Linked DNA regions of Nothobranchius furzeri. The protein of the gene in region 1 interacts with the protein of each later gene in a pairwise test. Links are inferred from orthologs where the notes say so. Each region holds a gene or a part of one and is shown in the gene's direction. Other genes may lie near its edges.

Evidence for each region.
Region 2: the proteins of kctd1 (region 1) and exosc1 interact in binary tests that used the Homo sapiens proteins (3 or more experiments, as listed by UniProt). The two-hybrid records come from large-scale screens. The link is inferred for Nothobranchius furzeri from reciprocal best matches to the Homo sapiens genes KCTD1 and EXOSC1.
Region 3: the proteins of kctd1 (region 1) and polr1c interact in binary tests that used the Homo sapiens proteins (3 or more experiments, as listed by UniProt). The two-hybrid records come from large-scale screens. The link is inferred for Nothobranchius furzeri from reciprocal best matches to the Homo sapiens genes KCTD1 and POLR1C.

What each region holds. Positions count from the first base shown.
Region 1 is NC_091751.1:52,385,237-52,389,548, forward strand, and holds the start of kctd1 (BTB/POZ domain-containing protein KCTD1), read left to right. Parts: upstream 1-1,372; 5' UTR 1,373-2,128; coding exon 2,129-2,368; intron 2,369-2,947; coding exon 2,948-3,126; intron 3,127-3,792; coding exon 3,793-3,937; intron 3,938-4,312. UniProt on the Homo sapiens protein: May repress the transcriptional activity of AP-2 family members, including TFAP2A, TFAP2B and TFAP2C to various extent.
Region 2 is NC_091746.1:82,295,852-82,299,995, reverse strand, and holds the start of exosc1 (exosome complex component CSL4), read left to right. Parts: upstream 1-1,341; 5' UTR 1,342-1,388; coding exon 1,389-1,446; intron 1,447-1,925; coding exon 1,926-2,041; intron 2,042-3,843; coding exon 3,844-3,918; intron 3,919-4,144. UniProt on the Homo sapiens protein: Non-catalytic component of the RNA exosome complex which has 3'->5' exoribonuclease activity and participates in a multitude of cellular RNA processing and degradation events.
Region 3 is NC_091752.1:59,366,593-59,370,240, forward strand, and holds part of polr1c (DNA-directed RNA polymerases I and III subunit RPAC1), read left to right. Parts: intron 1-2,029; coding exon 2,030-2,179; coding exon of another isoform or gene 2,180-2,182; intron 2,183-2,302; coding exon 2,303-2,419; intron 2,420-3,648. UniProt on the Homo sapiens protein: DNA-dependent RNA polymerase catalyzes the transcription of DNA into RNA using the four ribonucleoside triphosphates as substrates.

The sequences.
Region 1 (4,312 bases):
ATTACCTGCATTCTGAGTGTGATCCCACGCACTTTGCAGGCTGCCTTACACAGGTCCCCTTTTGAAGAGCAGCCATGTGATTTCTCTCTCTTTTGCCCCGCAGGCCCCTTTGCCTTCTGCAAGGGATTCTGGAGTTGAATTTTAAAAACTATGTATGGCTGCTGCCTGCGCTTATCAGCGCGTGCACAAGTGGCATGCAAATCAAACGAGGATCACACACCCGCATTGGAGGCCTACACTCAAAGGCAAGCTTAATTGCTAATTGGGTATCTAGGTGTGAAACCCACATTGCCAATGAGAGGGAGGAACGTGGATGTTTTAAGGCCAGTGGTTGAACTAATTAATTTTAATCTGACTATTATTAAAAACTGCAAATTCTCTGCATTTTCTGTGGGGGAAACAGCCCAAGAGAGTGCTGTGGAAGGAGTTTTAACTGCAGTTGGACATGTCGTGGTTGGGATTTTATACCGCGTGATATCATCAGTGTAGATGTGTGATAGCGATGTGGTGATTAGAAACAGGGGCTGAAGAGCTAAACTGTGGCCAATAGCGCCAACAAGTGGGAGCCAGAGGGAGGCATTAACACACCTTCAGAGTTACTGCCCCATCCCTGTTCAGAATGTTCATTTACATCTATTGATTTATGCTTATGTTGCTTATTTACTGCAACCAATTTCTATGTATTAGAAGAACTATTTCTTTGTTTATAATGCTTTTTGACCATTATTCTTCAATCATTGTAAAGCCCGACCTTTACTCCTGGGTTTAATTAATAAGATTTGTGCAGCCATGAAATTAGCAAAACAACCAAAGGAGTGGGTAGAGCCTCCAAAAGTGTGTCTTAAAACTCCTCTGCAATAAATTCACTCTCATTTTAAAATGTTTGATGCACTGGAATATTGCATTCGGTAATAATGAACAAAACACCAAAATATAGTTTATGTTTAAATCTTATTCACTGTGAGGGTCATTGCAGCACGTGGAAAACCAAATTGAAGCTATTCCTAGTCACATTTAGCTGTGGAATGGCATCCCCTTCCTTAACCTGGAGCTTGTGTTTCTGGTAACAGCTTGCTGCTCAAATACCATCAAAAGACTCCTGCAGAGGATTCTGTCACTTTTTTTCTCTTTGCACAAACATGTCTTGCAGTGATGCTCTTTCCACAGATGCATGATCCTAACACAATTTCTAGTGATAATAAAGTAAAATAAATAAATAAATAAACCCACTATTCCTTATTTTTGTGCTGTTTATATGACAATATTGTAATTAAACAATCAAAAACATGTATGGGTGTTCATGTGCCACCCCCATTGCCGCCCCCATAACTACCAATTTGAAATTTGTCAATGCTTGCCAATGATTGTAGCTCTTAAGTGTCACTTTAAAAAAAATCAACATTGTTGTTATTGTGGGGCAGAAGGTTTCCTCTGATCTGTTTTTCAGAGCTGATTTGGACTGATTGAGAGAATAGGTGCTGTTTGATTGCCATGTTGTAGATATTTGTTTGATCCAGAGGGTGTGTGTTGGCCACAGCGTTTGGGTTGGTCACTGTTGAGCTTGTTTGGTGCTTTGAAAGAGGTTTTGACCCGCTAAACCAAACAGCTGCTGAACAAGGGGCATCAGATGTGATGAGGGGAGGAAGAGGAGGTGACCGCTGTTGCGCCTCCTAAAGAGGGCAAAGGCCAGCTGCGGTTGCGTCCAGATGTGCGCGGCAGCAGCAGCAGCATCACAACGTTTATCTAGTCGGGCTGGGTTTGTTTTACTCTGAAAATGCGACACACATACGTGCCAGTGAAACAGCGACAGCCCAAAAGAGCCTCGGGCGCCACAATGCTAACGTTGTCTGGGGCTTTGACTTCTCCCAGCCAGTGTGAAGAAGCTGCTCCGCGCGACAGTCACGGCGCTCCTCCGCCGCTCTTCCTCTCGCTCTCTCCCGCTATTCACGCTTTTTTCCTCCGTCCTACATTCTTTTTTTCCCTCTGTTAGAATAAACGGTCCCAACTCTCTCTCTCTCTCTCTCTCTCTCTCTCTCTCTCTCTCTCTCTCTCTCTCTCTCTCTCTCTCTCTCTCTCTCTCTCTCTCTCTCTCTGCGTCGATCGCCCTCTGAACCTTTAACGCGTGAGCATGATGGACGAAACGGATATCATGGATCTTACGCATCAGAAAGCGAAGAAGCGACCGCGTCCAATCAGTTCGGTGGATGAGTCCGTGCATGCGTCGCTCAAGCGGCTCCCGATGCGAGCGGCGGAGTGCAGGGAGCCCTCACTGATGTTCGCTGTCAGAGGAGAGCCGGTCCCCGCTGCGTCTCTGAAGCAGAATGATCACTCGGTGGCTTCCTCTCCAACCACAGTTATGCCAGCACAGGTAATACTAATAATGGAAATACTAAAAAACGATGTTTTCTTATACAAGTTAGAATTATTATTTTTTTATTTTAATTGCCTTCTTTCCATCATTTGTGCGCATATTTTTTTGCATAATATTGCCTTACTGACTTTTCTGCTCTTTCCTGATTTAATTTTTCGTTTTTCCGTTTTAGATGCACTGTTTTTTTTCCCCCTTTCACTCAAAAGTTTGAAACTTTTTTGGGGGGAGAAACAGCTATTCAGTCGCAGCTTATAAGAAAATTGTGTTTGTAGGTTAATATGAGACTGATTTTCCCACCAAATCCTATTATGGTATTCAAATCAAGAGTCATTATTGCTCACTTCCAAGAGAGATTGATGCTCCAAATTAATTTGGTTTTGGAGATTATGGCCCACAGGAGGTAGATGCTTGTAGACTGTGGCAACATTCAGGTCAAGGTCAGGCTGCTTCTATCCTGTTGGAAGAAAATCCTCCAACCCTGGCTGTGGAGTGGGAAGAAACAGATTTTTGCATCTGCAGTGTTTTAATTCTGTCGTCATTTTGAATTTATCTTTTCTTTTTTTTATGCTTTTCTAGGATAATCGCTCCAGCATGTCCAGACCCATGATTACGCGGTCACCAGTGTCTCCTTTGAGTAACCAGGGCATCCCCACACCTGCACAGCTCACCAAGTCCAATGCCCCTGTGCACATTGATGTGGGCGGACACATGTACACCAGCAGTTTGGCCACCCTGACCAAATTCCCAGAGTCTCGGTGGGTCTTACTTGCTCGATTTTCTGAAAAAACTCTCTGCAGTTTTAGGCTAAATGTGTTTAGCAGTGTCACGATTTCCTCAGAGTTTAATGTCAGCGTGTTTGATGTCATTATGCGACAGTCAAATGTCACAACCCTTCAAATCTCACAAACACACTTGGAACAGATAGAGATTTAGTGTCAGGTACTTATTTTTTTAAGCACTCAGGTGCATCAAAGCACTTCTTCTGGTGAAGTCGGCAGTTATTTTAAGGGGTAAACAATCCTGTGAGAACACAAAGTGCAGAATGCAGAGCCCAGACAAAAGCAACTTGCTTATTCTGACAGATGTCACGGCAGCAGCAAAGAGCCAAAGGGCATGGAGCCATCTGGAGGCCGGGAGGCCACGCTGTCGCTCCGAGAGCAGGCCTCAGGGTGACAGGCACCCGGCCTCGGGCAACCCAGCACCAGCTGGACCTGACCTCTCCACTCCACCTCTGATTTTAATCCTTTCTTTTCTTTCTTTTTCATGCACATATATTACTCAGCCTTTCTCTCTTTTTGTCTAAGCCTCCTTGTAGAGTCCATCACTACAGTTTGTGCTTTAATAAATCAAAATCTTAATCTCAACATGTTGTTCTCCCACCTCTCTCCCTCTCCTCCTCCGTCCTCCCCCTCCCGCTGTAGAATTGGTCGTCTCTTTGATGGCACGGAGCCTATAGTCCTGGACAGCCTGAAGCAGCACTACTTCATTGACAGGGATGGACACATGTTCCGCTACATTCTCAACTTCCTCAGGACGTCCAAGCTCCTGATTCCAGACGACTTCAAAGTGAGTGGGTGACCATCCTAGAAACTGTAAAGTGCCATCAGCTAGTCAGCAGTCCTGCAACTTAGCTCACACAATAGATGCTAAGGCTATAGATCGCCTTTGGTCATCGGTCTTCGTTGAGATGGTGAAAACCATTCTGGAGATAAAATATCAAGAATCTAACAAAAGAAATGTTGAATTTTGGTGACACCAGTGAGCATTTTTGCAGGTAATCACGTGCATTGACTGTATGGCAGACTGTGTATTCAATTTAATATGTTCTCCAGTGTCCATTGATGGTGTTTCTCACAGGGTGACACATTAACATTCCTTCTTTTTACTCATATGTGTCATTTAGTCAGTAATTACCAAACTTGCCCTGGGAGAAAACAAATA
Region 2 (4,144 bases), on another chromosome or scaffold:
CTGAATACAATTTACAAGGCATTCAGTCCTACTAGAGACTACTGCAGATGTACTGATTCAATGAGTGTTCAACACCTTTTAAATGTCCTTATGCGTGTGAGGGTTGTTTCTGGGCGCTCTTGGTTCCCAAAGAAATTTATATTGCCAAACTTTATTCACAGGAGCAAAATTTTAAAAGTTTCCCTTATTTCTTTGATTCCACCCATCCATTTTCATCTGCTTATCGAGGGTCGGGTCGTGGGGGCAGCAGCCTAAGCAGGGAGGCCCAGACTTCCCTCTCCCCAGCCGCTTGGGTCAGCTCCTCCGGGGGAATACAAAGGTGTTCCCTGGTCAGCTGAGAGACACAGTCCCTCCAGTGGGTCTTCCTTTAGGTCTTCTTCTGGTTGGACGTGCCCAGAAAACCTCACCAGGGGGGCGTCCTAACTAGATGCCCGAGCCACCTCAACTGGCTCCTCTTGATGTGGAGGAGCAGCGTGTCTACTCCAAACCCCTCCTGGATGACCAAGCCTATCTTTAAGGGAGAGCCCAGCCACCCTGCAGAGAAAAATTTCGGCTGCTTGCATCCGCAATCTCATTCTTTCAGTCTCTACCCAAAGGTCGTGACCATAGGTGTGAGTTGGAACGTAGATCAACCAGGAAATCAACAGATCGGTACAACACCCACGTTACTGCAGACGCAGCACCAATCCGCCTGTCGATCTTGTGCCCCATCTTCTCCTCACGTGTGAACAAGACCCCGAGATACATTAACTCCTCCACTTGGGGCAGAACCTCATCCCTGACCTGGACAAGTTCTTCTACCATTTTCCGACTCAAGACCATGGTGTCGGATTTAGAGGAGCTGATTCTCATCCCGACTCCTTCACACTGTGCTGTGAACCGCTCCAGTGAGAGCTGGAGATTACGTTCTGATGAAGCCAACAACAGGACAACGTCATCTGCAAAAGCAAAGACTTTCTTAGCTTTTAAAAATAATTTCATATTTATGTTAAATCGTTAACAGTTATGAAAGAACAAAAGCTCAGAAACTATATTCCTTTTCAATAAATATTATCTTGTCAGCAAGATAAATAACTGATAAACCTTTAGTTTTTTTACCCTTTATGTGATTCTCTTGATGTTTGTGGTCTTTATTTGATACTTCAGCCATGTTTGTTTGTTCACACACTTAAATGAATGTTCTTTATATGTGCTTCATCTTTAATAAAGTAAAAACAAGTTTTCCCTTACAAACCAAAAACATAAAGGTTGGCGACACCCCGCGGAGAGTGTGAGTACAAATCGGAGCGCTTCGTTTTCTCGCACATGAGCACTGGAGCCTTCCTTCGCCCTTTTCCGGTCTCCACAGCCGGACCAATCAGAATCGACTCCAGACGACGTCCCAACCAATGAGCTCGCAAGCTACTCTTGTCGAAAACATGTCGCCCATGAAGTTGTGTGTTCCAGGTGAGTCCGCTGATTTAATGTTCCATACAAGGCACTGCGTAGATTTAGAACCGTGTTTTGGTCACGTACCAATTCCAGCTCGTGTAGACGTCGATGTGTCACTAAAGTATGCATTTAAACTTCAGTCAGAGGGCTTTAAAGTTGCCCCAACTGCTACACGCGTGGAATTAGCACATATTTATCATTCGTTCACACACCCAAAAGAAATCCGCTAACCAGCTTTAGTACTAAATTGTGTTTATGCTACATCAAAACAAAACGATCACTCACTAGACTATGCAGGATTAGCAGTTTGCCATGTTGATAAAACGAAATGAAAGGCAACTAAATCACAAACTCACATTAAAAATGAGAGGGTTTGACTAAAGTCACAAACAGTGGTTGTGCTCTTCAGGTGTGTTCATGTCTGTGATGTTAACACTGTTCGTTTGTTATTTTACTGTAGCGTTTTCTGACCCTTGTTGTCTGTTTGCACTCAGGTGACAAGCTTTGCAGTGAGGGAGACTGTAATCCAGGCGCAGGAGTATATCTGCGGCATGGCTACATTTACTCCTCACTCGCAGGCTTTGTGCTCAAGACAACCGAAGGCGAGAAGGTGAGGATCATAATGTAATACATATACTTAAAGAGCAAGTCACCCCAAATCAACTTTATTTTGTCTGATAAACTATATAAACGTGTATCTAATCGTGCTGCAGACCCGTGTTGTCAATAGTTTTGCACTTAAGTGCATTTTAGTTAAAATTTTAATTTTCTGCCTAAAACTGTCAGTGTTGTGCCATGGTCAGGTAAAAACTCTGCGCTGCATTTGAGTTTAAATCTGCCATCGGTATTGGCTAAAGCCTGATTCATGCTTCTCCGTCTGCGTCAGTGTGGAGACACGCAACGTCCTTGCGGGCCTGCCGGAGAGCTCCGCAAGGACGGACGGAGTCGAGCTCTCTTTTCTAAACATCCGTCAGTCGAGACGGACAACGCAAGCTTGTGATTGGTCAGGACGCCGCTGTTGTCTACAGCGCCGCCATTGCGCCCGCAAAAACATAAAGAGAGCCGAGGATAACAAGCGGCAGACACGGAGAAGCTTGAAGAATACCTCGCGAAAAACCTCTAAAATATGAACGTTTAATTCCCCGTGACTGGAGGAGTGAAAAGATGCGCAGCAAGCATTTTATTTGTGGACAGAAATGACAGGAAACCTGGGTTTAAGGTGGCGAGCGCATGAAGAAGACAATGAAAAAACATAATATAAACGCACTATCTTGGACCGATAAATGACAGGATACCACAGAACAGCGCTACGCCCTCTGTTGTCCTGCCGGGGAATTGCTTTGCAACACTCCAGGGGACGGAGAAGTATGAGAGCAAAACGCTTCCATCAATCCATGCGTGTCTGTCCCTTGCGGAGCTGACGGAGAAGCATGACCCAGGCTTAAGAGGTACCCTAGAACGTTAGTTGGTACCATATGATGTCACAATGCTGTGTGTGTGTGTGTTAGTGGCTCCGCCCTCTCGGTCTGCCAGGCAACAGCATTTGTTGCATTTTTCACACATGAAGTGGGAGTGGAGTACAACTCTGGTAGGGGGTGACTTGCTCTTTAAGTTTCAATGTTTAAAACTGATTCCAGGGAGCAAAATTGTGTCACATTTGATAAAATAAACAAAATAAATGCAGTTAGCCTCATTTCATCTGTAACTCGACTACTCTGCCTAAATTAGGTGAAATAAGAAAATCCAGCTAATGAATTACGACTTGGACAGAATGTGACTGAATTCATAATTTTAGGCAGTTTTTCTTGCACTCTGAAGCTTTTCTGTGTTTTTAAGCTTAATTCTTTAATGTTGAGATGAGCAGTGAAGCTCACACCCGTGATGATACAACTCTTTCTACATATTTTCTTAAACACTGCTTGGTCTCTATCCATTTGTACTAATTTATATAAATGAAATTCTTAATGTGATGGACAATGTTTAATTCCATTTAGGTGATTGTGGTATTTGGACTAGAGTTAATAGCTGTTGTATACAGTAGCTTTGTAGTGGACCAAAAATGATATAGTGCCTTCTAGGGTTCTACAACCCCTCCAAGGCATCACCCATGCACACACGCATTCACTTGCTGGTGGTAATGAGCTACAGTGTAGCTACAGCTTCCCAATGGTGCGCTGAAAAAGGTGAGGCCTTCCATACACTGGCACCACCATTCCCTCTGACCACCACCACCAGCAGGCAAGGTGGGTTAAGTGTCTTGCCCAAGGACACACCAGCAGAATTCTGTGCAGGGATCGATCCTACAACCCTTCGATCACTGGACTACCCGCTTTACTTCCTGAGCTACTGCTGAAGATTTAAATGTACTTATTACTGACTTTTGTACTCATGAATGCATTTGTGTGTTTTTAGTTACCAGTGATCTCAGTGGTGAGAGAAACAGAAGCTCAACTACTTCCAGATGTAGGAGCCATTGTCACCTGTAAGGTATGTTATGGAAACAGTTTTCTAAAATGAGATTAAAGACGTCTCTGATTAAAGGGGCATTATGGAAGTGTGACAGCCAAAACATGTATAGAAATAATAAATGTCTTCTTCATACATTCTCCTGCAATGCCCTGGTCCTGTAGAATGAGCCCTGGCATTTTTACTGTGATTGCCTGTTTTTCTGTAAAATCACAGAAAAAGAGAGATGCTCGGGTCGAGCAGGCTG
Region 3 (3,648 bases), on another chromosome or scaffold:
TTTTTTTTTTTTGCCTCCGTGATGTTGTCTGTGCAACGTTTAAAATGTCTGAACACATGTATCCGTTGGGTTAATGCCAGTCTGTCAGAAAGACCAACAGCCTTGAGATTTCTCCGTTGAAATAAATGGCCAAAAACAGAAAATATCTGGATAACGCGATCCCAGCCCACATTTAACTTTATGCCTTTTTATGCATGGCAGCCCTTCACACAACACGACTACCATTTTCTGCAGTTTAATAAGCTCACAACACACAAAGCGACCAGTGCTTCCTTTGCTTATGCACCTAGGTATCCCATCATGCAACGTGCTTCAGCACCTGATACGTCACCTGACGAGGACTGATGACTACATTGTGATTTCTTAGTAAATATTCTATTTAGTAAGGGATAAACTTTATTGTCTTTATCTGAGTGAATCTATAATTGAGTCAGCAGGTAAACTAGTAGTAGCACATTCCATGTCAAAGAAATTAAAAAGTTTTCAGGAGAGGGAAATATGTTAAAGTGGTTAGCAACAGTGTTAAAGCCGATGGCCCCCTCCATGAGGCCACCACGGCAAAGCAGAACACCATTGTAGCTTCTTCTGGGGAGAAAAACACTTAGGGAAAAAATAAAGTTGATAGCTGAAATAGCATGAAATAATGTAATTAGTCTTTTATCGTCTCTGTTTTATCATTTTAGTAATTTTTGCATGCATGTTTTATTGTTCTCTGCTCTTTTATTATTTTTATGTCATGTTCAGAACCTTGGGCTTCCATAAAGGCAGTGGAAGGTGCTGTACAAATAAAATTTTGTTGAATGATTGATATATTGAGCCACTGGGTATCTGGCCACGCACGCAGCTACATCTTCCACCCATTATATAACACCACAGGGATCCAGGAGTCTGTTGCCATTCGTTAAAATGAGTTTACTAATATAATTTTCAAGCTTTGTCAGCGATAACCCTGAAAAAGACTGAATTGAAACAAAATGTTAAAGGGTCTATTCCATCAATTTTTGCAGAATTAACTTTAAAAGTGATATAAACGATTTATGGACAAACCAGTGTTATTGTAATGAAGAAAACTGCAAAAATGTTGGTAATTGTGCAATTGACACAATGCCTAATTCTTTGTGCAAGCTAGCAATCGTTATATTGCCACCATTTTTCAAGAAAAAATGAGATTTTGGATTCTCAAAGAATGATATTTAAGCCATGTATATTAACTTTTGTTAATAACCTGTAGAGTGCACACAAATGTCAAAATGTTTTTATAATTTATTATTGTTTATTGTTCTCTTTACACTAAGACTTTGCAATCTATGCAACGTTAAAGTTTTTAGATGAAGAACAAGAGTAGACATGACCAAAATTGGATCCTCTTGGCTTTGGGAATTTTTTGATAGCTTTGCCAGTTAAGTGGCGATGGTGTACCCATTAATACAACTTTTTTCCTTATTTTGTCGACAAATGGAGATCTCTGAAGAAAAAAAAACTTTTTTTTCTGCATGTTTATTTAATAATGCAGGTTGAAATGACATTATTAGCTGAAAGAACAAAGGTGCGAGAGCATGCAGGCAGGGAGGACCCAGGTTAGAAATGGCGGACTCAGGGGCGGGGCCGGGTAGGAGACGCACGCTGGATGCTTTGGAGCCCATTCATAACTGCTTTGAGGTCTTGTTAGGGTTCCAAGCCTGAAGGGCAGGGAACCCAATTGTTTTAGTAAGCTTCTCTAGAAGCTCTGGCACCACTGGTGATGAACAAGACAGATAATTAGACGCATGTAATGAGTCCTCTCAAGTCCTTTGGAAATAGGTTTGGAATTTTCATGATGTGTGTGATGTTTTCGTCAAGAGTGACTTCTGACTAAAGTGAGATATTGTTTGCCCTGGGTGAAGAATGGGCCGTCATCATACGTGGGTCAGTGCTGCGTATCCACCCCTCCTCCTAAGAAAGGCTGCTGCTTGATGTTGTGTTGGCAGTAAAACATATTTTAGAGGTAGATTTCTGTATCAAACCTGTATGTGCTTCATTTTGTGCTCAGGCAGGGACCATGCTAAGTTCTCTCCAGTGGCAACAGCAAGTTACCGCCTCCTGCCAGAGATCACATTATTGGAAGTGGTGGAGGGAGAAAAGGCGGAGCTCCTGAAACACTGCTTCTCACGAGGTGTTATAGACCTGGAAGATGTTCGCGGTAAGAATTACCCAATAGAGCTAGAGTCAAGTGTTTTTAAAGAATTGGCTTTGTCATGCCGCATGAATTCCCCACACCAGTGTTTACCTGTAAATACTACATCACTATCCTTTGTTTCCTCAGGTAAAAAAGTGGCCAAAGTGGTGAACAGTCGACTAGATACATGCAGCCGAGAAGTTCTCCGACATGTGGATCTAAAGAATTTGGTGAAGCTGGGAAGGGTTCGAGATCATTTCATATGTGAGTTAGGATAAACTCCTAGAAATTACATCTAAGCACAGACATACAGGTGCTGGCCAGTAAATTAGAATATCATCAAAAGGTTGAAAATATTTCAGTAATTCCATTCAAAACGTGAAACTTGTACATTATATTCATGCAATGCACACAGACCAATGTATTTCCAATGTTCATTACATTTAAATTTGATATTCATAAGTGACAACTAATGAAAACTCCAAATTTGGTATCTCAAAAAATTAGAATATTCTGAAAAGGCTGAATATAGAAGACACCTGCTGCCACTCTAATCAGCTGATTTACTCAAAACACCTGCAAAGGCCTTTAAAAGGTCCCTCAGTCTTGTTTTGAAGGCACCACAATCATGGGGAAGACTTCTGACTTAACAGCTGTCCAAAAGACAATCATTGACACCTTGCACAAGAAGGGCAAGACACAAAAGGTGATTGCTAAAGAAGCTGGCTGTTCGCAGAGCTCTGTGTCCAAGCACATTAACAGACAGGCGAAGGGACGGAAAAAATGTGGTAGAAAAAAGTGTACAAGCTCTAGGGATAACCGCACCCTGCAGAGAATTGTGACGACAAACCCATTCAAAAATGTGGGGGAGATCCACAAAGAGTGGACTGCAGCTGGAGTCAGCGCTTCAAGAACCACCACGAGGAGACTCATGAAAGACATGGGATTCAGGTGTCGCATTCCGTGTGTCAAGCCACTCTTGAACATGAAACAGCGCAAGAAGCGTCTCGTCTGGGCCAAGGACAAAAAGGACTGGACTGATGCTGAGTGGTCCAAAGTTATGTTTTCTGATGAAAGCAAGTTCTGCATTTCCTTTGGAAATCAAGGACCCAGAGTCTGGAGGAAGAGCGGAGAAGCACAGAATCCACGTTGCATGAGGTCCAGTGTAAAGTTTCCACCGTCAGTGATGGTGTGGGGTGCCATGTCATCTGCCGGTGTTGGCCCACTCTGTTTCCTGAGGTCCAGGGTCAATGCAGCCGTCTACCAGGAAGTTTTAGAGCACTTCATGCTTCCTGCTGCTGACCAACTTTATGGGGATGCAGACTTCACCTTTCAACAGGACTTGGCACCTGCACACAGTGCCAAAACCACCAGCACCTGGTTCAAGGACCATGGTATCCCTGTCCTTGATTGGCCAGCAAACTCGCCTGACCTTAACCCCATAGAAAATCTATGGGGTATTGTGAAGCGGAGGATGCAATACGCTAGACCCA